Notamacropus eugenii: one gene and its partners. The protein of the gene in region 1 interacts with the protein of each later gene in a pairwise test. Links are inferred from orthologs where the notes say so. Each region holds a gene or a part of one and is shown in the gene's direction. Other genes may lie near its edges.

Evidence for each region.
Region 2: the proteins of RASSF1 (region 1) and STK4 interact in binary tests that used the Homo sapiens proteins (3 or more experiments, as listed by UniProt). The link is inferred for Notamacropus eugenii from reciprocal best matches to the Homo sapiens genes RASSF1 and STK4.
Region 3: the proteins of RASSF1 (region 1) and SUV39H2 interact in a two-hybrid assay, tested with the Homo sapiens proteins (2 studies listed by BioGRID and IntAct). The link is inferred for Notamacropus eugenii from reciprocal best matches to the Homo sapiens genes RASSF1 and SUV39H2.
Region 4: the proteins of RASSF1 (region 1) and LATS2 come close enough for resonance energy transfer, tested with the Homo sapiens proteins (2 studies listed by BioGRID). The link is inferred for Notamacropus eugenii from reciprocal best matches to the Homo sapiens genes RASSF1 and LATS2.

What each region holds. Positions count from the first base shown.
Region 1 is NC_092872.1:4,982,686-4,990,557, forward strand, and holds the start of RASSF1 (ras association domain-containing protein 1), read left to right. Parts: upstream 1-4,867; 5' UTR 4,868-4,981; coding exon 4,982-5,312; intron 5,313-7,872. Other genes in the region: ZMYND10 (zinc finger MYND domain-containing protein 10), read left to right, coding at 448-620, 1,452-1,577, 1,793-1,914, 2,988-3,113, 3,374-3,467. UniProt on the Homo sapiens protein: Potential tumor suppressor. Required for death receptor-dependent apoptosis. Mediates activation of STK3/MST2 and STK4/MST1 during Fas-induced apoptosis by preventing their dephosphorylation.
Region 2 is NC_092872.1:521,326,839-521,334,244, forward strand, and holds the start of STK4 (serine/threonine-protein kinase 4), read left to right. Parts: upstream 1-4,394; 5' UTR 4,395-4,576; coding exon 4,577-4,611; intron 4,612-7,406. UniProt on the Homo sapiens protein: Stress-activated, pro-apoptotic kinase which, following caspase-cleavage, enters the nucleus and induces chromatin condensation followed by internucleosomal DNA fragmentation.
Region 3 is NC_092874.1:166,643,010-166,650,856, reverse strand, and holds the start of SUV39H2 (histone-lysine N-methyltransferase SUV39H2), read left to right. Parts: upstream 1-4,835; 5' UTR 4,836-5,121; coding exon 5,122-5,152; intron 5,153-5,511; exon of another isoform or gene 5,512-6,659; coding exon of another isoform or gene 6,660-6,666; intron 6,667-7,847. UniProt on the Homo sapiens protein: Histone methyltransferase that specifically trimethylates 'Lys-9' of histone H3 using monomethylated H3 'Lys-9' as substrate.
Region 4 is NC_092876.1:188,106,243-188,113,616, reverse strand, and holds the start of LATS2 (serine/threonine-protein kinase LATS2), read left to right. Parts: upstream 1-4,362; 5' UTR 4,363-4,646; intron 4,647-7,374. UniProt on the Homo sapiens protein: Negative regulator of YAP1 in the Hippo signaling pathway that plays a pivotal role in organ size control and tumor suppression by restricting proliferation and promoting apoptosis.

The sequences.
Region 1 (7,872 bases):
CAGAGGACAGTCACAAATGCCGGCTCTGTCTGGGACACTTCTGATCGAGAACAGTGACTCTCTAGAGCATTTGATATGCTCTTTTGATTAAAGACAGCTGGGAGTAAGCAAAAGCAAATAGCAATCTCTCTGAATTCCATAACTATGTCTGAAAAGTCAAACCTTGCCACTTCCCAGTAGGATCTAGACTCAGGCCACATCTGCCTGTGCATCCTGTAGCCAAGGGATGGAGAATCTCAGAACTGAAGAGGATTTAGATGCAGGCTGTCCTTGGCCCTTTATCTTATAGATCATGAAGTTAAGGCCCAAAGAAATGGAGAGCCTTGTCCAGGATTCTAAAGCAAGGCAGCGACAGGGCTTAGAGCAGCCTCCTGGCACAAGGCTTATTCTCCCTTCTGTTGTCTCCTCCCACCTCTCCCATTCCCCTCTCCATTGCTTTTTCCTCAGGCCAGTTGAAGAAGTTTGAGGGGGGCAAGTGGCAAACTGTGAACGCCTCGGACTATTCGAAGCTGACCAAGCTAGATGGTCAGGTGTGGATTGCCCTGTATAACCTGCTGCTCAGCCCTGAATGCCAACCCAAGTATGACCTCACTGGCTTCAACAAGAACCAGCTCCTTAAGGTGAGTCATGCAGAGAGTGTCATGGGGGAGGGGTGAACAGAGGGCATCCAGCCTTCACAGATGCCCCATGGCCTCCCCCCTGGGCTCCTAGTCACTCTACTCCAACTCTCTCCATTTTCCCAGCTCCTGTAGCTAGCACAGCCATTGCTGCTGCCACCCTCACCAACTGGTCACAACCCAGAGAGGGGAAGGGTGGCCGTTTTCAAAAACTTTCCTTCATTCTGTCTAGGGAGGTGAAAGAGCAAACTCCTCCAGGTGGCTGGATTTGGTGGAGGGCCCTGAACAGGGGTCTCAGTGTTGGCTAAGTTTGATTCAGTCAGCTGACATGGCTCCTGAGCCCAGGGCACTTTCTCTCCCTCCTACCTACCCTACCCCACTAGTATCAGAGAGGATCCTGGATCCCCAGGTCACTGCACCCACTAGAATGACTCCTTCCCTCCTGAGAAAGCCACCTCAATGCATCCTCTTCAGACCTTGGGCATCAACCTCTTTCTCCTCTGTCACCATTGCCCCCAGCACACACAACACACACGCACACACACACACACACACACACACACACACACACACACACACACACACACTCCCCTCCATGGCAAGGTTCTGCTTGGATGTTCAGCATACTAATGCATGACTGCCCTAAGTGCAAAGAAAACCTAGCTCATCAGCTGTAAGTCCTCATGTCTGAGAGTAGTGCCTGCTTAGCCCAGTGTCTCCCCATTCCCAGGTGAGGCTTGGAGGACAGAATCCAGGGTATTAGGGAACCTTTCAGAGGTCTTCACCTGGGCTCCCTGGATCTTCTTCATTGCTTTCCATGGCTCTGTTTCCCAGCTCCGGCCCTTGTTCACTGATATCTTGCTGGACCAGATACCCAACCTGATGGATCTACAGCGCTTCCTGAGCCACCTGGAACTTACTGAACCCCTCCCTCCCAAGAAGGACCTGGTGATGGAGCAGGTATCGAGGGGGAAAAGCCTAGAACAGGAGTCTGACTGGTCAGTGTCCTGTTGGACAGTGGGGTCCAGTGGTAAGAGGACTGTCAATAAGGGCAAACCCCTCGGTTCTCTTACTGGCACAGTCAAACGTATTATGCATGACACCTTCTGCCATATTCATTGGCTCCTGGACTTGCTAGTCAAGGCCTTCTCCTGTTCCATGGCCCTTCCCCACAGATCCCAGAAATCTGGAGCCGGCTAGAGAAGAAGAATGGGGGGAAGTGGCTCTCCATTGCAAAATACCAGCTGAAGCACGTCTTTACTCTCTCTGAGCAGGAACTACGTCTACAGGCCAGAAGGTAGGTTGGGGGGCAATGCCAAACTCACCCACCCTTAAGAGGGATTTGCCCTGAGTCTCAGGGGTCCCTGATGCCTGAAAACTTCACAGAGCACTAGCTCCTTCCTCCTCAGGCTGGTCAAGATGGGGCTATTGCCCTCAGCCTGGGTCAGGTCTGTCACTTTTCCCTGCTTTCTAAATCTCAGACTGAGCTTGGAGCTCCCCAACTGTCCTAGGCCCCTGAGCTCTTGGCCCCTTTGCTGTTTCTACTACCATGACTGGCCTCTGCTTCTTCTTGTACTTAATACCCTTATTGGCCACACCTCCCAAAAGAAAAGTTTTCCAAGATGTGTTTTATGAGGAAAACTAGATGATCCATTCAAAAGAAATATTCCAGGGCAGGATGATTAGACATGTGTGGATAAGAAATTGACCCAATTCCAGGTTAGGCAGGAACTTAGTTTTCAAGCACATCTGTCTAGCTAATGCTTCCCTCACCAGGTTCAGCCCAAGATTTCCTCTGGTTCATAGGCCACAGTCAGGAATGGTTTCTTCTATCCCAGAGCAAGTCCCCAATAACAGTGATTTGGGATTCACCCACTTGGGTTCCTCGGATCAAGATCATTGGGTTGTTCTGTATCTCCCAGATCCCTGTCAGCCAATCAGGAAGCCTCATAATACCATGGCTGGTCTGGAGAAGTACCACTTCTACATACCTGACTAATCATCTGACCCTGAAATTTAGAGCAGGAGAGGACCTGAGGGACCACTTGGTGTAGCCCCTAGGTTTCTTTACTTGAACTTCCTGGGAAACTGAGAGCTGGAGAAGGGAAAACCCTTGTCCATAGTCAAAAAGGCAGCAAGTAGCAGAATCTAGATTTAAACTCATATCCTCTGATTTCAAATTCAGTTTAAGTCACCCTCCCAGACCCCCAACCAGGAAAAAAACATGGAGATACATAAGAATCCAGGCAGTATTATGGGATATCACCTCAAAGTGTATAACCCAGCCTCTTTGACAAAACCCCCAGACCAGACAGTGTGGTCATATTGGTTACACTTCTTGGGGCCCCCGTTTCCTCTGTTTTTCTCCAGATGGGCAGAGACCTACAAGTTGGATGTGATGGAGGCACTGAGCCCTGAGAAACCCAAGTGTGCCTCCTGCAAGGCTGAGGCCTCCAAGCGATGCTCTCGGTGCCAGAACGAGTGGTACTGTAATCGGTATGTTCACCGCTGTGCCCAAATCCGCTTGCCCAGGACTTCAACCCCCTTCTTCTTTTCCCTGTCCCAGGAAGTAGAACCTCCCCAAACACTGATCCAAGGGCTCAGGAGGATCCTGGGCTCCAGGAGCTCCCATTCAGAGGCCCAGGATCAAGGCAAAAGGGCCAAGTCCCTGAGGCCCATGAACCCATTCCTTTCTTAGGATAACAGCTAAACAGAACCTCCTTGAGCCTTCAGTTGCTCCTTTTCCTCTTAAACAGGGAATGCCAGGTAAAACACTGGCAGAAACACCGAAGATCCTGTAACTTAATGGCCCAGATGCTGGACAGCATGAAGGAGGAGGTCAAAGCGTAGTAGAAACTGCTGCTCATCTCCCCTCTGGGTATCCCATCATACCAAGCCCCCAGAGTGCCCACTATGCCAGCTATGTGCCCCTCCCCCATACACACACATACCCTAGCCCCCCAGGCCAGACTGGTCTGCAGGCTCCCCAATCAGGCAGAGGCCACTACTTGCTTTGTGCCCTTCCTGCTCTGAATCCCTGGTAACCCAATCATCCTTGCCTAGCCCTGCAGCTCCCAGGAAAGCCCAGACTACATGAGTCTAGAACCAAGGATGGTTCCTTCGATTCCTGGGAGTGGGGCAGGGTACTTCGCTAGATCCTTAGCTCTTTCTTCTTGTCCTGGCGAAGGGGGAGGGGGAATTCTAGGTAGGGTGAGTCCTTCCAGCACCTAGAGAAAGGAGGGAGTAAGGTCGGGTTGCTGAGACTTCCCTCTGCTTTCTGAGAGTCTGTGGCAGGAAAGTGCGGATGTGGGGTACCTTCTTCCTCTCTCTAGAGCACAGTAAATGCCTTCTTTTGAGAAAGAAGCTTCTGTCTGTTTGCAGTGAGAAACTGCCCTAGCTTGGCCTCTCTCTTCTAAGGCCTGCCTGGTGATGGGATGGGGATGGCTTTGGAAGAAGGCTGAGACTGCTTCCTGTGGGGCCCAGCTGGGCCTCCAAGAGAAAGGGAAGGAGGGGAAAAGCAACCCCAGCCGAGGTGGGCGGGATGCTGCTCGAGGAGCCAGGGTCAGCTGGGCCCCTTCTTAGGTTCAGGTCCACACGGAGCACTGGTGCTTCTAAGGTCCAACTTCCTTCCCCTTGTGGGAGAAGAGACGACCATTGCCCCCTCCCTCTTTGCTTTCCCTGTAACGGCTGAAGTGCCCCCCACCCCACCCCCCTTGGCTCTTTCATCCCAACTTGCACATTTCTGGTATGGTTCGCTCGGATCTCCTCCCCTCCGGTTGGCCCCTCCCTGCACTCGTTTCCCGCCCCCAGTCAAAGGCTGAGTTCTGCCAGCCCCCTCCCAGACTCTAGTTTCCATTGCGTGGTTTTGGCTCTGGGGATCTCAGCAAACGGAGGCAGGGCCCCCGGGTTGGGGCGGGGCCGGTGGTCCAGTGCTGCCCGAGCCTTCGAAGTGGGGGCCGAGGACAGGAGTGCGGGGGAGCGGACTCCAGCCTCGGAAGGCGCTAGGAGTTGGAAGGGCCGGCTCCGCCCTAATCTGGGACCCATAGATGGGAGGGGGAGAAGGAGGCCAACACCTCTGCTACCCATCCCAGGACCCACAAGGCGAGGGAGCCCCCTGCAGTGACAGGGCCCGAGAGCCAGGGTGCTTAGCGGTCCACTGAGTCCGAGAGGCAAAGATCGAGACGGGCAGAGAACTGCAGGCAAAGGCAGACGCTGAACTTAGGCTGGGGGGGAGGGGAGGGGGGAGGGATGGGAGGGGGAGGAAGTGCAGAACGAAGCAGTGACCATCCCAGCTGAAGAGCACCGAGGGACAGAAGTGGCCAGAACAGGCAGCCGCCCGCAGAGGGACGCCTGGAGAGGCGATAATGTCTGCGGAGCCGGAGCTGATAGAGCTGCGGAACTTGGTCCGGTACCCCGACGGGCTGCGGGGCCAAGAGCCTGGCCGGAGCCCGGGCCCGCGGAGCCCTGGCCGGCTGGAGCGCGCCAACGCGCTGCGCATCGCCCCGGGCCGCGGCCCAGACGTGCTGCCTCGCGGCCGGCAAATCCGTCTGCTGGGCGGCCACAGCGACCCCCGACTCACGGCCGGACCCGGCCGGGGCCACTGCTTCCGTCCGTCAGGGCCCGGCACCCACACTTGGTGCGACCTCTGTGGGGACTTCATCTGGGGTGTCATTCGCAAGGGCCTGCAATGTGTCCGTGAGTACTGGGGTCTGAATTCGAGGGGGGGGGAACCCGCACTCTAGACAGCTGCGGCTCAAAGTGCTCGGGTGTGACCACGTGGGAGCTGCACCTCGTGGGGTGCAAGGCCTGGGGAGTGTGAGGAAAGAGGAGAACATCTAAGTTCCCAAGGGAGTGGGATCCGGGATTTGCAGGTGCACCTGGCGTCAGCCAGGTTAGCAGCAGTGAGTGTGCCTGAGGCAGGGAGAGGGGAGGCCCTGGTGTAATCACAGCCTTGGACCCACATTTGCAATAGGTTTCCCCTCCATATCAAGGCCACCTCTCCGCCCATTCCTTCACTATGACCATGGGGGAGGTGATAACCATGTGGCTAGCAGCTACACCCCACACCTCATCTCTCTCCCAACCCCAGTTAGTAAGCTCTTTGAAGACTTCGCCAGCACAAGGTCCTGCTCAGGAGCCACAATGCTCCAGAAGGTAGAAGCCCCCACCTTCAGCGGTCAGTGTGATTTGACCTTTATAAAGTTTACCTTTGGCCAATCCCTGTCAGAAGATCTTGGCTGCTAAAACTTAGCAGCGTTGCACTGCATTACTTTGCTGGGCAAATATTTAACCTATTTACTGGACAAGCCATCTGCAAGCACTTTGAGCAACATTTGCATAGACACAACGAATGTGCTCATTTCCAATGATTCTCATCTACAAATTAAGCTGGCCTAGGCGGTCACTCTCCCACTGCCCCACCCCCACTCCCAGATCGGGTTTGGCCACCACAGTTTCATTTCGCTTTCTGTTGTCTTGCCTTCCTCCTGGTACTTCCACTCAGCAGCGTGTTACTGGACTGGGATACTGGTGCCCGCCACCACAAATGCCATTGTGGTATGGAGGAGACCAGAGGTTTCTCTAAGTTTGGCCAATGCAGTGCAAGCTCTGGCCCTTTCTACCAACCAAGAAAAGTTCTGAATGCGGCCTTGGTGATGTCAGTCCTTGGAGGACCAGTCTAATGAAAGCCAATGAACGTCTTTACACGAAAACAAGACCACTATGTGGTTTGTTTTTGGACTGGGCAGTGACCCATAGAAAATGGCCCAAGGTCCTGTGGAACAGCCTTCCAGAACTTCCTCAGTGTTGGAGATCTGTGGGGAAGGGACAGAAGGTGCTGGGAATCACCAACAAACATAAACTTAACTGTTGATATTCTGAGTTCCATCTTTGTCCAGTGACTAACAAGCTGACACATTATTGGAGAAGAGGAACCACATCAATGCTGATACTCTAGATATTGACAAAACAAGAGGGCATTCAATCTAAGCATGGCCAGGGCTTGCAGCATCTTCTCTGAGAAGCAAGTAATGGGAGTTGATTTTGTGTCCAAAACTAACAAAAAACATCATTTAATGTAACATTTGGATCATCTTATCTTCACAGTGCTCAGACTGAGCATAAGCAAACAAAACACCATATAATCATGTGACATTCAGCCAATATTCAATTCATTGAGCACCTACTGTGTGCCATGCAGTGCTAGGGATGCAAAGCATAAAAAAACCCTCCCCACGAGAAGCATAAATTATATGGGGGAAGGGGAGGGTGACATGCCCACAGATAAGTAAATAAAAATACATGTAGAGCAAATACAAATTCGCTATGGAGTGGGAACTGGCAACTGGGTGAACTAATGGAGGAGGGCTAAATTCGGAGTCAGGAAGACCCAAGTCTCAGTCCTGCCTCAGACACTTCTTAGCTGTGTGTTGTTGTTCAGTCATTTTCATTCCTGTCCAACTCTTTTTTAGGGTTTTCTTGGCAAAGGTACCGGAGTGGTTTGCCATTTCCTTCTCCAGCTCATTTTACAGATGAGGAAACTGAGACAACAGAGTGAAGTGACTTGCCCAAGGTCATACAGCTGGTAAATATCTGAGGTCAGATTTGAACTCAGGAAGATAAATCTTCCTGACTCCAGGCCAGGTGCTTTATGCACTATGGCGCCACCTAGTTGTCCCATTAGCCAGCTGTGTGACCCTTAGCAAGTCACTTACCTCCTCTGGGCCTCAGCTTTTTCACCTATAAAATGAGGGCATTGAAGTGGGTCCCAAAGGTCCCTGGATCAGTATAGGCCTCCTGTAAAGGCTCATCTGAGCTGGTAGAAGTGAAGAAGTCATGCACTCCTGGCAAAGGGGGACAGACAGCTTGTGCAGAAGCCAAGATAGGAGAGAGGCAATATGTTACAGCCAGGATTGGAGTCTGAAACTAGACAGTAAAGTAAAAATGCCAACCGTAGCTTATATTTTATCCTGGAGGGGATAAGGAGCCCTGCTGCAGCTCCTGGGTGAGATGAGTGACTGGCAGACTCATGCTTGAGGTCTCTCAGTTTGGCTGCTTCGTGGAGAATGAATTAGAGGGGGAGATGTTAGGCAGAAATACCAAACAGGACATTCAGGTCGAAAGTTGATGAGACCCAAGCAATGAAAGTCACATGACCAAATTTCTTATACTAGAAAAATGATAGAACTCAACAGCCAAGTTGTACAAAGTCAGTCAACACACATCTTAGCACTTGGTGACTTCGTTATGAAAGTAA
Region 2 (7,406 bases), about 520 Mb from region 1:
TGTGTACTACCCTATATGTGGGAAAAAAGACTTTTAAACAGGAGAAGGTCACAGAACTCACCCAGCTTCCAGACCAGAGGAGGTCAGTAGGGTTTGTCAACTTATAGTTGAAATAAAAGGTGGTAGGTAAGAAAACACCACCAGGGCAGCATAAATAGAAAGCTTTAGGAATCTTAAGATCAGAGAAGTTTCATGGAGGAGATGGAATTTGTTAGCACTGAAGGAGGAGAAAGAGCTGGATTTGGAGTTTGAGGATCTGCCTTCTAACCTTGGCTCTGTTGGGGAACTCATTTCACCTCTGTAAGCCTCGGTTTCCTCATCTATAGAATGAGACAACTGGATTAGGTCCCTTCCAACTCTAGATATAGGTCTTTCAAGCTCTTAAACTATACATTATGATTTATTTATTCAACAAGTCCATTACCAGAATTAGGAGACACCAGGGCTCAAGTTCCAGCTCTGGCACTTACTAGCTTAATGTGATGGTTTGCTTGAGCCGGCTCAGGGTTTCCTTATCTGTAAAATGGGTAAAAATACTTGTAAGATTCACCTTCTGGGCTGTTTTAATAATAACAGCTAATTAATAATAATAGCTAACACTTACTATGTGCCAGGCACTGTGCTAAACTCTTTACAATTATTATCTCAAATGATTCTCAAAACCCTGGAGGTCAGTGTTATTATTATCCCTATTTTAAGGATGGGGAAACAAGTAAACAGAGGTTAAGTGACTTGCCCAGGTTCACAAAATTAGAGAAAGGTGTCAGACTGAATTTGAACTCAGGTCATCATGACTCCAGGCCCAGTTGCTCTAGCCATTGTACAGGATTCAAATATATGGAAACACTTTGGAAACCTTAATAAAACACTTTGTGAATATCAGTTATTATTATTCATTCAGCACTCACTCAAATGGATCAATAAGCTTGTTGTTTTACAAATTCCCTGCAGTGATACAGATCAAAACTATACAGGACTGCCCAGTCTATTCAGCTCTTTTTCAGGTCCCCTTATAAGTTCAACAAACCGAGGCAGACCTTTTTCCATTTCTCCAGATGTCATAACAATATGTACCTACCAGTGGAGCACTCAAAGGATCCAATTTGTCGTGCCTCAACTTCACCTCCAGCTAAGTGTATTTTTCAACTCCGAGGTACCACATCACACCCATCAGATTGGCCAACATGACAAAACAGGAAGATGATAAATGTTCAAAAAGATGCGGGACAGTTGGAACACTCATTCATTGTTGGTGGAGCCATGAGCTGATCCAACCATTCTGGAGAGCAATTTGGAACTATGCCCAAAGGGCTATATCCTAAGGCTGTATCCTAAACAGATCATAAAAATGGGAAAAGGACCCACATGTAAAAAATATTTATAGTAGCTCTTTTTGTGGTGACCAAGAACTGGAAATCAAGGGAATGCCTATCAACTGGGGAATGGCTGAACAAGTTGTGGGATAGGAATGTAATGAAATACTATTGTGCTATAAGAAATGATGAACAGGCAGACTTCAGAGAAACCTGGAAAGACATATATGAACTGAGCTGAGTGAAATGAGTAGAACCAGGAAAACATTGTACACAGTAACAGCCACAGTGTTCAAGGATTGTTTCTGATAGACTTAGCCCTTCACAGCAATGCAAGGACCTAAAACATTCCCAAAGGACTCTTGAGGCAAAATGCCATCCACATCCAGAGAAAGAACTATGGAATCGGAATGCAGAATGAAGCAGAATATTTTCTCTTGCGTTATGTTTTGTTTGGTTTTGGTTTGGTTTTTCTCATGGTTTCTCCCATTCATTTTAATTCTTCCATGCAACATGACTAATGTGAAAATTTTTTTATGTTTAATAAGAATGTATGTGTAGAATTCATATAAGATTGCTTGCTGTCTCGGAGAGAGAGGGGATGAAAATTTAAGACTTATGGCAGTGATTGTTAAAAACTAAAAATAAATTAAATTTTTAAAAAAAGATAGGTCCTTTTTTTCCCCAATCACATTTGCATTATGACATTCTTTACTCCATTTCACTCCTAAAGTTCATTATTTGTCATATGCTGCAGCTTATTTACACCTACAATACACCTTTGTGGGTTATTATTACCCTCTGTGTGTAGTTTCATTTATGATTTCTTGAAATAGAGCTCTGAAAAACCAGGCTTTGAGAAAGCTCCTTGTGATTCAAATAGAGCTACTGACTATGCCTTTAAACTCAAATCACTCTGACTCTCACAGATTGGCCAGGTCCCAGTTCAAGCCTTGCTTGGTCATTGTTTGTGTTTTGATGGCTCTGAGTGTGTAAATTGTTATTGTTTCTGTTCTAGACATAAATCCTGTGGGTCTTCCCTTCCCAATTTGACTTTTTTTTTTTTGAGTATGTAAACTAGGACATCTTTTGACTAATTTCTCACCTAGCCTTAGCAGCACCATCTACAATCATACTGATCTATTTCTTTCCACTGGACTCAGATGGCTCCAGAGGAGAAAGTGAGGCTGGTGACTTTGCACAGCCCTCCCTCACTTAAATCCAATTCACAAACAAGTCATGGCATCACCTTCCTAGTACCATGATCCTCTTTGAGAATGAAGAATAAACATCTATGTAATAGTCATTGTGTTCCTGCCCAATTCCAAAATGATTGGAGGGGAACTGTTAGAGTCTGAAAAAGTGAAACATCCAAAAGAATCTTGGAATACTAGAATAACCGAAGTGGGACATTACAAATCATGTAGTCCAACCCCTTCATTCTCCAGAGGAATCTGAAGCCATGAAAAAGGAAGTTACTCTCCAAGACCATATAGTGAATCAGTTCACCTCATTGGTGCCATAATAGACCTTGGAACCAAGGATGATCTCTAGGTTGAGGTAAAAGTTAAATCAAATAAAAGGTCAAGGTTACAATAACCTTAAAGAAACCATTACTGTTCTCTTAGATTTAGCATTCCAAGAGAGTGGTCACATCTGAACCTGAAGTGAAACTGTCCTCTATTTACTAGATATTGGCCTTGGGAAGCTCACTTTGCATCTCTAAACATTAGTTTACCCATCTATAAAATGGGAATAGATAATACTTTCAACAGAGGAAGCTAAGTGGCTAGAGTACTGGGCCTAGAGTCAGGAAGCCCTGAGTTCAAATTTGACCTCAGATCTTCACTAACTGTGTCACTTAAACTCTGTTAGCCTTAATCCACAGGAGAAGGAAATGGACAACCATTCCAGTATCTTTGCCTAGAAAACTCCAGGGGGAGTCACAGAGTCAGACATGACTGAACAACAATTCTTTTAATACTCACTTCCCAAGGATATTGAGGAGAGCTCTTAATAAACACTAACGTATTACAGAAATGTGAGTTATTATTAGTGATAGGAATAAAAACTTATTTATCTGGCATTTTACAAAACACATTCTCTACAGCAGCAGCCCTGTGAGGTAGATAGATCGTGTAAAAAATATGATCTAGCTCTGTCGCTTCCAAATGAAAAGAGACATGGGTTCAGGCTGGGACCAGATAATTACTGGCTGTGTGTAAGTAAGGAGGATTCTGTCGTCTTTTCAGAGGGGAGTGTCTCAGGATCCGCTGCCAGGGCAATGTCTAGTTTCTGAGTGTTAGATGCTAACTCCCTAAACGGCCCCCAGGGTCACGGGTGGTCACTCCTAGGATCACAGCGGTGGGCAGTCCTAGGCAGTGAGATAGCGATGATGGCACCGCTGGCACTATGCCTTATGGAGAGTGGGCACTGGTCAGCACGTGGGGAATGCCTAGAGGAATGCCCGCACCTGCCTCCACCTGCGGCACCGAGGCTACGGAGGAGGACGGGCAGGGCACAGGGCACGCGGGCGCCCGGCTCCGTGGACGCCCCCCTGCCGGAAGGGGGATTAGGAAGTGGTGTAGGTGCCCGGTGCACCCATCGAGAACACCAGCCTAGAATAAGCTCAGACCAGGAACCCCCAGCTGCCGTCCCGTCCTTCCTGCCGGGCCCCACCGCCTCTCCTGAAATCAGGGGTCCAACTGCGTGACTGCTGCGCTTCCTTCCAGGACCATACCCTGCCGCAGCAGGGCTTACGGCGACACCGCAGAGATGCCACTGGCCTAGGACCGTGGAGGAAGGCCTGGGCTCGAATCGCAGCTCTGGCGCTTACTGGCTAGGAGACCTTGCACTAAGTACTTCCCCTCTCTCCCGCCCCAGCTTCCCCCTCTGTAAAATGGGCACGTGGGTCGCTGCCGCGTGATCGCCATGCCCTCTCTACTGCCCAGCACTGAGACCCTGGCTGAGGCGCCGAAGGCCGCGGGGCTGCCAGGCACTAGTACAGACCCCTGGCTGCCCCCTTGCGGGGCCTCTCTGGCAACGGTATACTTACTCTCCCGGCCCCGCCCCCGAGGGGCACGTGATCCAGGCCCCGCCCACTGGGAGCCTCTCCACCTCCTCCACCTCCCCCTCCCTTCCCCTCCCCTCCCCTCCGCGGCGGCCCCACCAGCCCCACTTCCGGCCCGGGCGGAAAGCGGAAGTGTCGGAGGGACCGGTTGGGGATGGGGCAGTAGCAGGTTCGAGCTGCCGGCGGCCGCGCTATGGAGACGGTGCAGTTGAGGAACCCGCCGCGCCGGTGAGTGTGTGTGTGTGTGTGTGTAAGTGTAAGGGGGAGGAGACGAATATGTGTGAGTGTGTTAGGGGGAGACTACGTTTGCGAGTGTGTCGGAGGAGGCTGTGTGTGTGAGAGGAGAGGCTGTGCGCCAGTGGGAGGGGGACCCGTGTGGGCGTGAATGTGTGAGTTGTGAATGAGGGGTGAGGAGAGTGCGTGTGTGAGAGAGGTGCTATGTGTGTATGTGAGTGAGAGGAAGGGGGTGTGTGTGTGCGTGCGCGCGCGTGTGTGTGAGCGAGTGCGGGAACACTGTGCAGACCTCGAAGTGGGGGCCGGAGGGCCGTGGATGGGGTTCACCGTGAGGAGGAGAGGCTCCCTACGAGCCCAGGGATGGCAGGAGGAGCCTGTGGGAAAGAGTTAGTCCGAACGATACCTTTGCTGGGTTCCCCGTCCAGTACTGGGGAAGTGAGAAGGGTGCTGGGTAAACATCTAGGTGATCTGCATTAAGAGGACTGTCCTCCTGATTGAGTTATCATCCTTCAGAGCTAGAGTCTGAAGTGACCCACAAGCGCTTTCTTTATATTCTCCTCATAGACTTTTAAAATTCAGTCTGCCACCTTGGGCACAGAGATGGACAGAAGGGAAAGTAGTGTGCACTTCTAAATCTGTGATTCTGACATTTCTGAGGACCCTTCTCTATCTGTGTTTTAAGGTTCCTTCCACTTCTGAAGTTTTGGATCTGAAATAATAATGCCCTGTCAGTAACAGAGCAAATGCTGTTTGCCTCCCTGAGTTAGGTTCTCACACGTGTGTCAGGGATAATGAAATAAGAGCATTCTTACTTTGCTCAAACTTGTGATTTGTGAAATGACAAGGCAAGGTCGACTTTACTTTGCTTAAAGTAGTCATTTGTTTAAAAGTAATTTCTTCACATATACTGACATTAGACAGTTAAGACTCAGAGCTTGTCTTCAGTAAACTGTTGATACTACCCTCAGGATTCTTTGGATGGCATGTGCCCATACTTTGTTCATGTTGGCAAAGAGCACTTTCGGTACGAGTTACAGAACTACTGACTGATCACCGAGGCTAAGTTTAAAGGCTGGTTTAAAGGATTGGTGACAGTGTATATGACAATATATGCAAAAAACCACATGTGTAACTTTTCAGGTTATCATTTGGACTATGCGCAAGCGTTTAAGAACTCTTGATATTTTGGATCTCTGGTCTCTTACTCTTACTTCAGAGAGTAAATTGATGCTTTCTCATCTTGTACGATTCTTCTCTTGTTTCTGTAATTTCTCCATGAAGGACCTGCTCAATGTGCTTAAGACCTTCCTGGAGTTCTTTGAATATCACAATATAGCATGTGGTCTGTCCATCTGTTTCCAGAAAAATAGAAAAAGTAATAGATTGTTCGTTTATTTTAAAAAAAGATGATTAAGAAGACATCAGTCATTGTCAACATGTTTTTGCTTATTTTCTCATTTCTAAAATCTTTTGAGAATTGTTGATCCTTGATGAAGACATGACAGAGGAATGGGTAGACTGTGAACAAGGACTTTCCACAGCAAGTTACATCTTCATAGTAATATAGTTGATTAAGAAGTACAGAAAAATGTAAGATTCTACTGTGTTTATCATTTTCTAAAAATTGGTAGAAAAAATGCATCCCTAACACCTTTACTCAAATGAGAAATTTCCATATAAAGATTAAAATGTTACACAAATGTTAAAATCGTGTAAGATTCCATGATAGGCACTCCTAGGGAGATCATTTCATTGATCCACTAAGTGTCAATCTCACAAAACAAGTAAGACACATGTTCTTGTAAATTGTTCACAAGTGTCATAGAAGCTAACCTACATACAACCCAAATAGAAGAGCGATTTCCTGTCATTAGCAAGATTGTCTTGATACTGCTAATGTTTATACATGACATTGTTCTGATTACCTTGAGTTCCAGAGTGCTGCAGGAAGATCCATAATCATTAATTGTTTTGGTTGTTTTTTTCCCTGTATAGATGTGTAAGCAAAAGTCACTGAAAAAAAAAATATGTTGCCCAGGCAACATTTAGTGAAATAGGAAGTTCACTGTGATAATTGATCATTATAGATAAATTTGGACGAGTGTTATGTTATGAATGGATAATGAGATGAACTTCGAATTGAGTAGGAGGAAAAGATCGGACTGAATCATTTGGGAATTTGCACCTCCTTGTTAGTGTCTTAAGTTGCTCTCTGCTGTAAAAGAATAACTCTAATGCTAAAATTCTGCCATTGATGCTAATTATCTGTCAAGTCATCACGCTCCACTATCTCAGGAAAATCAAGGTTGAAGGTACTCTGGATGTCAATGGAAAGATGCATGGGACTTGTAAAGCTGTAGCATTTTTCCAAAGATAACTCGGGGGTGAGAAGCAGTATTAAATTAAATTACTAAGAACCTTTTTTGATTGAAATCTTTATTGATGATGTAGTAATGCCCAGGTGTAAAAATTTCAGTCTGAAAATTTTGGGGGAAATACAGATGAAACCAGTAGTTACCTATCCTTTAAAAATAATTGTTTTTATCTTATCATTGTTGATATGTTTTGTTTCTTTATTACCAGAAATTCAGAATCTATCCCTACCTCCCACATTTCCTCTTGTGACAAAGATGAATGGAAGCAGTTCAGCAAAGCCAGTTGTCATACCACCTGTGTCTGACAGAATATAAAATGTTCCTCCTCCTCTGTGACGAATAGAGGGAGATGCATTTTCTCAAGTCTTCTCTGGGGCTAATCTTTGTCCTTATAATTACACGGGATTCAGTTTC
Region 3 (7,847 bases), on another chromosome or scaffold:
ACTAAGTACTTTTCTGTTTTCAGAAATGTATCAAAATTATGAAGAGTAGAAAACATAATACTTGTTTAAGTCAAAAAGCATATTTGAGAAATAAAATACTCACCAACACAGTTCAATTCCATATATGTGAACATTTATGTAGCAATTCTGGGGGCTTCTTGAGATGTAAAGTTCTTTTTTTAAATAGAGCACTGGAAATTCTACATTACTCTCCATGCAAATATACAGAATCAAATTTGAAGTGAATGCAAGTCATTTATCTTTTCAATATACACAGACTAGTCAGTAACATCATCTCTGAGTGCTAGAGAAGGATGGATGATGGCCAGTAGCCACATGCTGGAAGATGATATTATGCTAATTGTGTCAAGCCTTGAAATGATCTATTTTTCCTCAGTGAAGTTCATAGTTACTCAGAGATCAGTCCAACAAATGTAGAAAACATAGAATAACCTGTTGCTCAGCCTGTGACATGCAGCTGGATGTGCAGTTCATTGAGTCAGACCATCAGTACCTGCATAGACACTGGAGATGAATCCCTGGCTGGACCTAGAAGTGAATAGAAGGAAGAAAATAGTTTGAATTGCTTATGGCTAATTAGGTAGTATTGCTCCCTGACATGTAACCCAAATTTATAGAACAACTGTTCTTCTTTTGATTCTATATAGCTATGAATCATGGTACATGATCAAGCTTCAGGTGACTCACAGGTCAAGGAATGTATAATAGGCTGCAACATACTACCAGTGATGATCTGTGTGGAAAAAGTAACCTAAGATAGATCATCTGGGAGGTATGTTAACAGGAAAAAGAGGTGGGCAGTCATGCTTCAACAGCACATTCTTCAGCCTTTTGAAGTAGAGCGGATGTTATCCCTGTTTTGCATATTAGGAAACTGAGGGCATAGAAACTAGATGTTTTGTCCTAGTATCTCTAGCTAAAAGTGCTAGAGCTAGAACCTGGAACTCAGGTCTTTTGACTCCAAGACTATAGTTCATACTGTTACAATGCATCACCTAGGAAAGCTAAAACACCAAGAAATGAAGTGATTTATACTTGGTGTTTTAAAGACTTAGTGTTAGTTCCTGGATTAAACTCATCACCCCAGTAGCCCTGTTTTGCTACTTGGCCATTTGAATTTTATCATCTTTCTCATCTTATGTTTGTCCATTGTAGATTCACTTAAATATTTTGGGGGGAAAAGTAATACAATATTATGTGCCTATTTTAGAAAAATATTTGGTATACAACAATCTTAATTTATGGAACAGATTTTAAAAATGCTTTTATCTTGTCAAAGGATGCTTCATTTTATAGAATATTTAGCATTCCTCTGATGTGTACTGAAAATTGTTTGCTGTATATATGTTTGACAAGTAAAGTATAATTTTAACTTTCTCCCTTTGCCCATCTCTCTGGTATAGGAGACCTTTGTGACTTTAGAACCAACAACCATTTATTAAGAACCCTTTATGTCCTGCACACTATAAAGCAGTGGGAATACAAATCTAATAATCTTTTCTTAATTCTGATCATCCTTAATCCCAATAGGAATTGACACTGAAAAACACCATCTTTTCTGGTTACTGTCCTGTCTAGGTTTCCATGACACTGTTCTTATTTTCCTCCTGTCTATCCAACTGCCCTTCTCAGTTTCCTTCGATGACTCGATGTTTCCTAAGACTCTTGCCCTGGGCCTACCATCTCTCTAGGTCCTCAAGTGAGGCCCTTTGACTGAATCCAAACCTCAGAGAACAAATCCCCTTAATAAAAGCGTTTGTTCTGTAAAACTTGGACTCAGTCAAAAGGCTATCCCCAAGGACCTAGAGGGCCACATGTGGCCTCGAGGGTCACAGCTTCCCCACCCTTCTTATGCCCATGTGTTGTTCCATCATCACTTCTCACCTCTAGATCTATTTAATCAGCCAAGTGGATCTCCAACTGCCTCTTGGACAACTCTATTAACATCCTAGAGGCATCTCAAATACATGTCCCAAAAACAGAACTCTTATCTTTCCCACCACATCCTCTCCTGAACTTTGCTATCACTAGCAAGGGCACCACGGTCCTCCCAATCACTCAGACCCACACCTCAGTGTAATCCCTTGACTCCTTACTCCCACTCCCCTCCACATATTTAGTCTGTTGCCAAGTCTTGTCATTTTACTTTCATATCATCTCTCAGAAGTCCCTTTCTTTCTACTCATAGCCTCATTAGCCATGCTAAGTTCAGGCTCTTTCTTATATCTTGCCTGGACTACTATAATAACCTAACTGGTCTCCCTGTTCTTAAGCCTGTCCCTGCTCAATCTATCCTCCATTCATTTGCCAAAGGGATTTTTGTATAGTGTAAGTCCACTGAGTGAATTCCAATAGCTCCCTTTTACCTCCAGGATCAAATATAAAGTCTTCTGTTTGGCATTTAAAACTTGTCATAAGAGGGTCCCTTCCTACCTTTCTAGCCTTACTCTCCTCCCCAAACTCTACAATGCAGCTATGCTTGGCTTTCTTGTATTTCCTCGAACATGATAGTCTCCTCTCTCTGCCTTTGCACTGGCCTTCCCCCAAGTCTGGAATGATCTGCCCCCTCATCTCAGCTTCTTAGTTTCCTTCCTTCCAGACCCAGCTCAAATTCTATCCTTTGAAAGCCTTCCCGCATTCCAATAGCTGCTATTGCCCTTCCCTTTGAGACTAACTTAATCTATGATATGCTACATATCTTGCATCCTCCTAATAATTTATATATTATCTCCCATTAGAACATAAGTACCTTGAGGGCTATTTTCTGGAGAACTCACATGGGGCAGGTGATCACATGGTGGTCAGAAGAAGCAATACAAGGACACTCATGGTCTCAGGAAATCTGGATTTGACTGTGCGACATGGGAGACACTGGCACAGGACCGCTCAGCATGGCATGCCCACATCAGAAAGGGTGCTGTGCTCTATGAGCAAAGCAGAATTAAGACAGCACAAAGGAAACATAGGATGCTCAAATTTGGAGTAACCACCCCAAATGTTCAGACTATCTGTGCCCAATCAGTGGCAGAGCATTCCAAGCTCTTATTGGTCTGATCAGCCACAGTCGGACACATTGAAATGTGACTTTATTATGGTCATGTCATTTTGGTCCTCTTGGAGAACAAAGGACAACCACCACCAACCAACCTTGGGGGCAGGGAGAACTTGCTTGGTTTTTGCCTCCCTTGTATCCCCATAACTTTGCAGAGTGCCTGATACATATGAAGTACTTAATAAATGTTTATCGTCTGACAAAGCCAAAAGTGAAATAGACCTTGTCTGAAAAGAATTTATATTCTAACATACAAAATGAATACAAGGTAGTTTCAGGAGAAAAGACTAGAACTGAGAACGGTTTCCTGCAAAAGATAATGCTTAAGCTGAGTTTGGAAGGAAATGTGAGGTTCCAGGAGGGAAGGAGAACTAGCCTTCCAGGCATGGGGGAAGAGTCAATGCAAAGGCCCAAGAAAGGGGAAATGTGAGTGGCCTATGGGAGGAAACAGGGCAAGTAGGCAAGTATGGCTAGATGGTGATGAAGTATGTGGAGGGGAGACTGGTAGATAGGAAGGGGACAGTACGTGAAAGCTTCAAATGTCGAACAGTGGGATTTCTATTTGATCCTATAGGTCACAGAAAGCCACCGGAGCTTCCTAAGCAGTTAGGAGACATAAGACCCTGACCTAAGGAAATTTATTTTGATAGCTGAGGGAGGGAAGCAAGGAGATCCACGAGGCCCCTGCAATAATCCAGGCGAGAGCGGATGAGAGTCTGAGCTAGGGTGGTAGCTGTGAGCGGACTGAAGAGGACAGGTGCTGTAGAAAGGGAATCATCGAGACTTAGCAGTTGTCCACGTGGGGTGGGAGTGAGCCCAGCATGAGGCAGGGTTTTAGACTGGGTGGCTGGGAGGGTGGTGGTCTTTCCGACAAGCAGGAGCAAAGAGAAGTGCTGTCTGGGCCCTGTTTGGGATGTGTATCGGATACGCAGCTGAAATGTCCGGTTGGGCAGTCTGAGGCTGAGGGATTGGAGCAGCAGAGCATTAGAGACAGGTGATACAGTCCTGATGGAGGGTGGACTGAACCGCGGGTGCCAGGGCGGTGACCCAGAGAACGGAGAGAGAAGGCACCAGCCAGGATCCTGGCAGCCAGCGGGGGCTCGGATACACCTGGGGAAGTCGCCTCCGCCGGGGCGACCAGCCCAAAGCCGAGGCTGTACGGGCGGCACTGGTAGAGCGATGCGCTAGCCGAGGACGCGGGCAGCGTGGACCACCCCCCAGCTCGGACCCTGCACCGCCCCCCCCCGCGTGGGCAGCACGTTCCTGACAAGCACCCACGTGCCCCTCGGGCTTGCGCTCTGCTCGATACCAAGGATCGCAGGGAGGCTCTGGCTTTCCCGACTCTGACGTGTTCACAAAAGACACCCGGAAGATTTCTGCTCAGGGCTTTCCGTGGCCAGCCCCGGAGCCTGGGCACTTGTGGCAGAACCACCATTGCAGTTAGGAAAGCAAAGTGACGGAACTGGTCACAAGCGGGATGACCACTGCCTGCACTGTTTAGTCACGTCAAAGGAAAATCCTGCCTAAGTCGAAGAAACAGTGGAAAAAGCCCTAAAACTGCAAAGCGAAACCCGGGCCTAAGCGGAGGACTCTCGCAAGGACGGATGAACGTCATCGCGGACTGAGGAGCACAGCTGTGTAGAAAGCGATCTGCGCCGGGCTCCCGGCAGGCGTGAACACGCGCGCCTCGCCGCAGCCCTCCGCTCGGGTCGCACGCACGTCCCCGGGCCCGGGGTCCCGCCCTCGGCCGCCTGCACGCTCCGATCTGCTCTCCGGGGCCCGGGAGAGGGGAGGAGCTCGCGCTTCCCGCCGCGCGGCCTCAGCCGCCCTCCAGGGCCCGCTTCGGCACCGTGGGGAAGCCCGCGGCGCAGCGGCCACGGGGTCCGGGGAGCCCGCGCGCTGCCGCACCGGCGCCCGTCATGCCCTGACGTGTGGGCCTGTCTCCTCCCTCCCCGCTCGTCGCTCGGAGCCGGGTAAGGGGCGGGGCCTCGGCCCTCCAGCTGAGCGGTCCGGTCAGACCGCGCCAGTTTGAATGAAGGTTCCACAAGATGGCGGCGGCCGCGGCCGGAGCGCGAGGAGGTGAGGGCTGGAGAGGGTCCCTGCCCCCACCCCGCTTGTCTCACCTCTCACTGCCCAAGCCGCGCTCCCCGCGTCTGGAGGACCGGGAAGGAGACCTTGATACCGAGGGGCGGCCCGCCATCTCCCCGCTCCTGACGCGGTGACCCCAACGTGGGGAGCGGGACGGGGGCTGGCCCCCACACTGTCCCGCTGGCCTCGGCCCCTCGGCCCCCAGCTTCGCTCCCTCCTCCCCTCCTCTCTTCCTTTCTTTCCTCCTTCTCCCCTCTCTCCGTCTCGTCCCGTCCCGTCCCCTCTCCTCTCCGCGCCGCGCCGCACGCTGGCGGGAGGCTCGGGCGCACGCCGCGGGAACTGAGCCGGGTTGGCGCCTCTGCCCCCGCAGCCCGCGCCGGGCACGGTGGGGAGCCGTTTACCGTCGCCCTCCCCGGCCCCAACGTTTCGCGGGCCCCGGAGGCGCCGCTGGCCGGGCCCCGGGCCCCCGGGCCCCGCGCCGGGCCGGCTTTGGCTCCCCAACTGTAACGGAGGTGGGGGAACGGCGGGCGCGAGGTGTGGGGCCGAGCGGGAGGCGCCCGGCCGCCCCGAGGGGATTAGTGGTTGGCTAATCCCTGAGCAGGATCCGAAGGCTGGTCGGGGAGGCTGCGGTTTGACTTCTTTGTGGTCCTGCGGAACTCAGATGTGGTGGGGTGGAAAAGTTTGTCGGTTTGTCCTGGGGAGGGCCCCCGGCCCGCAGTCGGGTCCCGGCCGTCCCGAGGGGGAGGACTTGGGGCCGGGGCTGTAGAGAGGCCGGAGGGGAGGGGGGAGCGTGAGCCCGGAGGTCCTGGGAGCCGGACGCGCTCGGCTTGGCCGGGCTGCGAAGAGTTGGGGAGCTGACCCCCACCCCCACCCCGGGGGCTTCCGAGCCCCAACCGAAGCAGGTCGGAGCGGGGGTCTGTGCCTTGGCGCCCCAGGACGCAGCGGGCTAGAGCGGCTGCTTGGGGAACACATGGCATTCCTGTAGACCCGGAGCGGGCCGGGAACCGCCAGCCTTTGTGCGCCCCGCAGCCAGCCTTCGCTGGTGGGAAGCGTTAGGCTGGCAGGAAGGTTTTCATTTAGAGCACCGTGCAGGCGCCGCTCGGCTCCTGGCCCCCTGGAGTGCCCCCGCACAGAAATAGAACATTTTGAGTAGTCCTTTGTAACCCACCGAGTTCTCCTCCATTAGTAGATGCGGTGTCCTTAGCACCGGGCGGTGGAGGGGCCCCTCGCTTTGCGTAGAATTTCTAAGAGTTTTAGATCTGTAAGGGACCTTCCGAATGAGCCCGGGACCCCAGTCTTTGCTGAGGACTTGAAGTGATCTTTGGGTGTGGGAGACACCTGCTGGCAGTGAAAACGTGGGGGGTGTTTGTGAGGAGGCTGCAGTAATCTGAATATTCCTTCATTATAGCAAGGGAAAAGGTATTGTAGGTAGGTTTATCCCCCACTGTAAATACCAGATCACAGGAGTAGGTGTGGTGGCTCTTACTGGCTTGGAAGTATGGAAGGTAAGGACTCTGAATCTGCTGCTGAGCTCTGTTCCAAATTCTTCTATTTGGCCCCCTCTTCACCGTGAAGAATCTTAAGCACAGAAGGGGTTAAATGCTTTGCCCAAACTTCTCTAGCAGAACCTCGAATAGAATTCTGTTCTCCCATTTTAGTCCAGTACCCCATTATACCAGAGAGACTATGGATTTAAAAGTCGCGAAAGGTTTTGCTCAGATCACTGTTTTTAAAGGAGTCTTGATTTGAATTTTTTTTTTGCAATACGAATAATTGGATTCTAATATTTTTACGTTAGGATGAAGAGTCCTAGTGGAGGACCTAGGTTGAGACCTTAGCTTTGCCACTTACTCATTTGTATGTTTGGGTAAATCACTTGACCTCCCTTAGCCTTTCTTTCCCTGTTGCAAAAATGAAGAAGTTAGACTAAATGACCTTTAAGGCCCCTTCAAAGTCTGTGATCTTAGTAATAAGTTTAGATTTTAGTATATCTATATATATATTTTTCTTAAAGTGGAACAGATTTGTATACATTGCAAGATCACATTTCACAGTATTTGGGGCATCTTACAGTCCATTCATTACTTTGACACTGCTTTAAAAAGCAAAAATGAAAAAATTAACATTGGAAAAATGAATGTCGTATCCATTATGGGTACAACTCTTGGGTTTATTTATTGTGAAGTTAACACGTTATCATCTTAGAGCCTAACTTACCTCCCAGGTCCTGTCCAGCCTCTGGCACATTCTAGCTCTGGGACCTTGGACATGTCACCTGATTTCTTAGTGCTGGGGTGGGAGAGAGGGGAGAAGACTACTAAGTGGTGTATGATCTCTATTGGTGGAGGGAATTGTTGCTCTCAGGAGTTCATTTTACCAATTAAATCACAGGGCTGGATTGAATGGTAATGTTACAGCATGGGCAAGACAAGTGTAAATTTTAAATCTCACAGCCTTTCAGAGTGAGAAAACTGTAAACTAATGCTGTAAGTTTGACGTGTTTTGGTTTTCAGCTCTTTTTCCCATTTGTTGGTTAAAGAAAAGAAAGAACTTTATTACAAAGCTGTACATTTGGCTTCATTTTAAAATTTCTTATTTCTTTTAACATTTATAATATGTTCTAATAGTTGGCCAGGGGGTCCTATAACTTCCATTAATAAAGTAATTGTGTACATAAATGTAATGA
Region 4 (7,374 bases), on another chromosome or scaffold:
TGCTCTGTATTCATCATATGCTTAATTTCTTATAGCACGGTAAAATAATTTGTTTAGCCACAATTTGTTTAGCCATCCCCAGTCTGTCAACAAACATTTATTAAACACCCAGGTGGACACCACTTTTGAACGCTGTGGATAAGTTCACTTACCTTGGTAGTATACTTTCCAGGGATGTACACATTGACAATGAGGTTGTTGCACGCATTGCCAGAGCTAGCTCAGTGTTTGGGAGGCTCCAAAGGAAAGTATGGGAGAGAAGAGGTATTAGACTGACTACCAAATTGAAGGTCTACAGAGCCATTGTGCTGACTTCATTGTTGTATACCTGTGAAACATGGACAGTCTACCAGTCCCATGCCAGGAAACTGAATGGCTTCCATTTGAACTGTCTTAGGAAGATCCTGAGGATCACCTGGCAGGATAAAGTACCAGAAGCTGAGGTCCCTACTTGAAGTAAATTGCCAAGCATTCAAACTATGCTTCAGAGAGTACAACTCCAATAAGCTGGCCACGTTGTTAGAATGCAAAATGTATGCTTGCCAAAAAGACTATTTTATAGAGAACTCACATGGAACAGGTGATCACATGAGGGTCAGAAGAAGTGATACAAAGACACTTTCAAGGTCTCTCTCAAGAACTTTGGATTTGATTGTGCAACATGGGAGACACTGGCACAGAACCACTCAGCATGTGGCTTGCCCGCATCAGAAAGGGTGTTGTGATCTATGAGCAAAGCAGAATTGAAACAGCACAAAGTAAACATAGGATGTGCAAATTTGGAGTATCCACCTCAAATGTTCACATGCACTGTTTGTGCCCACCCTGTGGTAGAGCATTCTGAGCTCATATTGGCCTGATCAATCACAGTCGGACCCATAGGAGCTTGACTCTAGCATAGTGATGTCATTTGGGTCTTCTTTGAGAAATAAGGACAACAACCACTAAGCACCCATTAGGTTCCAGGTATTATGCTAAGTGCTGAAAAGTACAAAGAAAGGCAAAAGACAGTCCCTGCTTTCTCAAGGAGCTCACAGTCTAATGAGGGCGATAGTTGAGATATAGACCAAGACCATGTACAAACAAGGTATATTCAGGGTAAGTTGTCGATAATCCCAGAGAGAAGACATTAAGGTTAAGGAGGACTAGGAAAGGCTTTCAGTAGAAGGTGGTGCTTTTTTAATTAAGACTTAAAGGAAGTTAGGGAAGTTAGGAGTCAGAGATGAGGGGGTAGAGTGTACCAGGCATGGGAACAGGTGCCAAGTGGTAAAAGTACCTAAAAAAGAAATATAAGCCCTGCTTTTCAGGGGCTCACAATTAGACTACTGCAATAAATACTACAATATACAGAATACAGATATTACTAAAATAACTTTAAAAAATTAATTTAAAATCATATCTTGAGAATTTAATATTTATCCCACTCAATATTACACCAATCCCCATTAGATTAAACAAATCAAAACTTTTAATCTAAATAAAAGTTATGTAATTTATGTAATTTTTCCCATTGTTCCTAATCTTGGGATCTGCATTCACCCTTTCTTGGTCCCAAATTACTCCATTTTCACAGTGACTGGAAGCTTTCCTTCTCTCTAGCCTAGGCAGAAGACAGAGGAGTTTTCTCTTCTGTCCTAGTTAATACCCTTTCTTTCAGAAAACTAGCTAATCTAATCTCACTGGCAGATTGTGACCTGTCTAAAATAGGGTAATCATATGATAATCTTAAAGAGCTAATCCTCACCTAGTCTAACAGATCTGGATTCATCCCAAATCAAATTCCTGAACTCCTGAAACTTCTTACAATATCCTTTGCCCCATTTACTGAATTTCTTAACAGAGACTATTTACTGTCTCCTGGATGCATTCCCATCTCTAGGTCTTTGCTTACATGGTTCTCATGCCTAGCATGCTCTCCCCTTCCCATCCCCCATCCACACCCTGGCTTTAGAAATTCTAGTCATCCTTTACGATTCATCTCAGAGGCTATCAGGGGTGGGAAATCTGTGGCCTCGAGGTTCCCCACCGTTGGCTAACTCCTCCAAGAAAATTCTCCCTATTGTCTCATTTAGAAATTATCTCTTTCTTTTGACCTCACAAAGTACTTTGTACCTGTCTTCTGTTCCTACACAATCCCATTCTGCAACATCATTATTGTATGCTATTCCATATGTGTGTATGTATCCTTTGCTAGACTGTGTTTTAAAAAGGCATCTACCATGCCTTAATTATCATAAATCCCCCAACACCAAATACAGTGCTTTGTACATAATAGGAGCTTAATACATGACTGTCCAAGGAAAGAATTTATATATTAAAAAGATATTCTTGCTTCCCTAGGCATGACTCTCTCCAGGCTCTCTTTTTATCTATCTGGTCATTCCTTATAAATTATGTTTTAATTCATTCATCTATATCCAGTTTCTTACTTTTAGGTATTTTCCAAAGCTCATTCCTAGGTCCTCTCTACTTCTCTTTGCACTTTCACTCCCTTCCTGTTCTCATCTGCTCCCCTATATTCAGTTATCCCCTCCAAAAAGATTCCCAAATCTAAATGATTATTCCCAACCTCTTCGGTCTTAGATCTCCAACTGCTTGCTAGATAGTGACACTTGGTTGTCCCAACTCAAAATGAATATGTCCAAAATTGAGCACACCTTCTTCCCAAACCTGTCTTTAATCCTTTAAATTTCCTTACTATTTTTGACAGAACCATCATCTTCCCAGTCAACCAGGTGTGAAACCTCAGTCATCCTCAGCTTTTCACTCTCCCTTACCCTCCATATCCAAGCTAGTGCACCAAGTAGAGTCAATTTACATCTTTGTGATTCTATCTTATCTTCCTCTTCCTCTCCCTACTAGCTCCTTCTCTCTCCAAATAGAGGTCTCAGGTCTTTCCTATTTATGTAACTTTGGGAGATCCATTGCTGGGTCACCAGGGACTGGGACATTGGACCCTCCTTCTCCTATACCTGGGCATTCAGCATGGACCTCTTTCTGAGGCCTAGGCAACCTCCCCAACCATTATTCTGCCTGCCTCTATTATAATCAATGTTTAACACAGTACTGGGCACATAGTAAGTGTTTAACAAATATTTATTGATTGATAATTAAGCAATTAAGTAGTGATAAAGATCCAGATACAATAGTATTCTAACCTTAGTTTTAGCACAATAGAAATACAGGAACTCACAGCTCACAGGCTGGAATAATCTGAGGAGACTTCCTGAAAGCCAGGCATATAAAGGTAGGAAGACAAATGAAGCAGTGTTGAAATAATCCTGAGGAGCAATGATCTACTGTATTGTTATTATTCCCCAGGAAGTATAAATGACTCAAAAAAAATACAGTAGTTTATTGTTAAATGAGAACTAGTTCTCAATGTGGATATTAAGTCCCCCTCTAACAGATGGAGATAGTAAGTTAATATTACATTTCACGGACTGATGATTTCACTGGCATTGGTTTTTGCCCACCTCCACAACGCAGAATGCAACTTCTTTGTAACTCAGTAGACTTTGAAAGTTAACCATGCTCAAAAACTTCATCACTCGGTGACCGAACTCGTGAAGAGCCTCCATAATACTCCGTTGCTTGTTTTAAGGTAGGACTCTCTTAAAGAGAGGCTAAATAACTTGTTGAACTAAACATAATGGAAGATTCAGGAATAGATTCTGGATCTGACTCCCCTCCCAGCTTCTCTGCACAATCGCTTCATTTTCGTTTGCTACAAAGTACACAGCCCCGAAGTGCTAACGCAGCACTGTACAAAGTACACACACACACACACACACACACACACACACACACACACACGTCACTCAATACTGCCAGCAGAAAACACACTGTTTTATGCACTGTACTGCAGTTCAAACAAAATATACGAGGTCAAGTGGGACTGGAGGGAGCTTAAGTTCGGTTTGCAAAGAGACAGCCTTCGTTCTTTGCGCGGTCCGATGGGTCCTTTAAGGAATTAGGAGGGGTCCCCTTGCTTGCGCCATGTTTCTGATGACTGCCAGCTGCTTGGTGACTCGCTTTCCCCTCCAGCCCAGTGGGTCTACGCCTCGGCAGCCCCAGGGAGATCCTTAAAGAAGCCAGCGGCAGCACGGGCCTGTGGGGCTACAAACTTTTCCAAGGGAGAGCTGTGGGGCGGGGGCAGAAGTGCAGAAATAACAGCAACCAAAGCTGGAGAATCCGTCACTGGCCGGGGCCAGAGACGGTGCCCCGGCTGGGTGACGGGGGACTGGGAGGGCGCAGGAGGTAGGAGCAGCGGCCGGACCCACAGCGGCGGCTCCGGCGGCTGCAGGAGCCCCGCCCGGGCTGGTATGCGGGCGGAGAATGACGCGGGAGGCGGGGTCACGTGACGCCCTTGGAATGCCAACAATGTAGCGAATGTCCCACTTGGGTCTGCGCGTTGGAACAGCGGCGTGAGCGCCCGGGGAAGATGGAGCAGCCGCCGCCGCAGCAGCCCCCGCCGCCGCCGCCCGCGACTCCTACGCTGCTGCCGCCTCCGCCCGGGGCACCCACCTCCCTGCGGGGCCAGCAGCGGCCCGAGCCGCCCGTGCCCGGCCGCTCAGCGCGAGAAGCCGCCGAGGCGCCGCTGGTCAGCGGCCCCCGCTGTTCCTAGACCCCACCCGTCTCTGGAAGTGAGTAGGCGCTGGGTGTGGAGTGATTGTGTGTGTGTGTGTGTGTGTGTGTGTGTGTGTGTCTAAGTGTGTAAGAGGGGGGCTGCAGTTATCAAAAGTTTGTCCGGGGGCTGCCAAGCTCAGGGTACTCCCTCTCCTCCTTCCAGTCCCCCACCTTCGCCGCGGGAGGTTCCGGACCGTCCGTCCGCGACGCTCCGCCGCGTGGGGCTGGCTCCGGCCAAGGGCAACGGCGGCCCCCCACTCTGGGGCGGAGAGTAGAGGGACCGAAGGGAAGTTTTCCCCTAGTCCGCCCCAGCTACTTCCCATTGGAGGGAGATAGCACCCACCCGACCCGGTGTCGGGTCGGGTCGGGACGAGGACGGTCCCAGAGCATCCTGGAGGGGGGTGAATTCGCCCGGTGGAGCGATGGCTCAGAGAGCCCATAACTCCGTCTCCGCCGTCCCCGCCGCCTCTACTGCAGCGCAAACTAAGTTTGGGACAAGTTGGCAGGGCACGGGCCGCGGGGACTTTGTCCGGGCGGTGAAGCTCCGGGTGCGCCTCTTTGTTGTGCGTCCCCAGGAATGGCTTTTCTGTGGTGTGTGAAGAAGGGGCAGGGTTACCCTTTTCTACCCAGCTGGCAACTGGAGGAGTCCGGAGACGGTGTCCTCCCTGGGCGGGGGTGGGGGAGATGCCTCTCTCATTCCTTAGAGGCGGAGAGAGCGAGAGGACCCGGGGATGTTGAACTGGGCTTTTCCATCAAAAGGTCCCTTGAGTCTAGACACTCTGATTCTGCTGGGGCGCTGCTGGCCCCGGGGCTCTTGACAACTCGGTTCTGTTTGGCTCAGCTGGGCCAGGCCCGTCCCAGGGGCAGTTGCACGTCACTGGTTGGGATGTCCCACGCAGGCCTCAATACCCTTGGGGCTCAATCCAGGCTCTCTCCCAGGCTTTTTTCTCTGTAAGTTTCCCTTTCTCCTTCATAAGTTTGTCTCGCTGTTTCCAACAAGCTCTTTAAGTTTCGGGAATACTTTCGCCGCGGTAGTTCTGGTGGCAGTTGCATAACATGTCTTCCCTGTGTCCTAGTTTAGCTGACTTTTCTGGGACTTGACTTTCTTAACTTCCTAATGCCACGCGCTCGCACTAACCCGGAGCGTTTATTTCCCCGGACCACCGAGGAAGGTGCTCATTGTGTTGTCTTGACTTTTTTTGTTTGTTTGCATATTACCTATCTACATTACCTGTCTTTGGAAACAAGGAATTTCAATTTTCCTTTTGGGAAAAATGCAGCCTATGGGACCAGATTGGCAGAAGACTGGAGCACTTGGCCGGAAAGCTTTTAATGTTTGATTCTTCCCAAGTTTTCTGTATAGTGTATCAGAATAAAACTACATCTGTATGTCTTGTTGGTATGGAGACGGCATGGTTAGAGTAACCTCCTAGGAGGAAATAGTCCCGACTCACCATGTGACCTTGAGCTGGTAAATACCACCTATATATTCCCTGCGGTGAAGTGAAAGCTAATGCTATTAAAAGCTCTGTCTACAGGATACTTTGTAAGGAAACATCAAGATGTATCTTTAGGAGTTACATTGTGTGAATAAAATAGGTTTTGGATAAGGACAGCAGCTGTTACATTATGGAGGAGGAGAGAAACACATTTAGGGCAAACTTAAAGTCTTCATTTGTAACATATGTGGTGACCTGAGCTTTGTGAACAGCGCTAAGCCAGAGAAGGTAATATTAATAGAGAATGTCAGCAATACATACGATAAGTAAAAATTCAAGTGAAATCTTTTCAGAAATAATTTTTTCATGAATTTGTTTATTTTTAAAGCAAACTTTGTGAATACTTTTAAGGCAGCCAGAATGAAGCAGGAATTCAGTTCCTAATTTCTGTTTGGATCTCAAATAGTCTGCAAATTGTAAAATTTTTGAAATTGGTGGGTAATGTGAAGCAAATAAAGGTGAAAGTAGATAGTTGTTTACTTTCAGAAAGGTTGTACCTAGAAGATTTTGGCCTTTATTTTAGGATAAATATCTGCTGCAGGTTGGATTCCCTAACATCTGCTTGAGAACCATTCATTCTTGGAGTGCTACAAGGAATGAGCTACTTCCGACCTTTTTAGCTTGTTTCACAATGCCTATTGTAATTCAAATGTATCACTAAATTAGAACTTCCAAATTCAGCAGAAATGAACTGTTCAGAAAAGGGTCTTTTAAATTTACATGACAGTTTGAGTTGACCTCATAAAATTTGGTCTAATTAGCTCCAGTTACATAGAGAATTCTGCTTAATGAATATATGTGTATTCCTTTGAAACGAATTCTCTGAGCACTTAATCAGAAGAGTCAAAGTCAGAAACTCAGATAATTTTGAAATTGTGTCTTAGATAATAACTGGTGTGGAAATATTCAGGTTAATTAGTAGGATCTTAGAAACTTAGAGCTAGTAGGGACATTAGAGACATAGAGTGTAAACCACCTCATGTAATTTGAAGTAGTTTTCAACTGATACTAAAACAATACATATTTCTTTCTCTTTTTTACCAAGTCTTTATGAAGCATTGGGAGGTCAAAGTTTATAGATAAAATGTCTTATCATTTAAAGTACTGTTTAGTTCCTTATGTCATCCCACAAATCTGAAATCTAAGAAATGTTGATAAGTTCACAACATAACACATAGTAAGTTGAGAAGTGATTTAAGGAGTTTTTCTGTGGGATGTACAAGGTAGATTGTCTTTAAAAAATAAG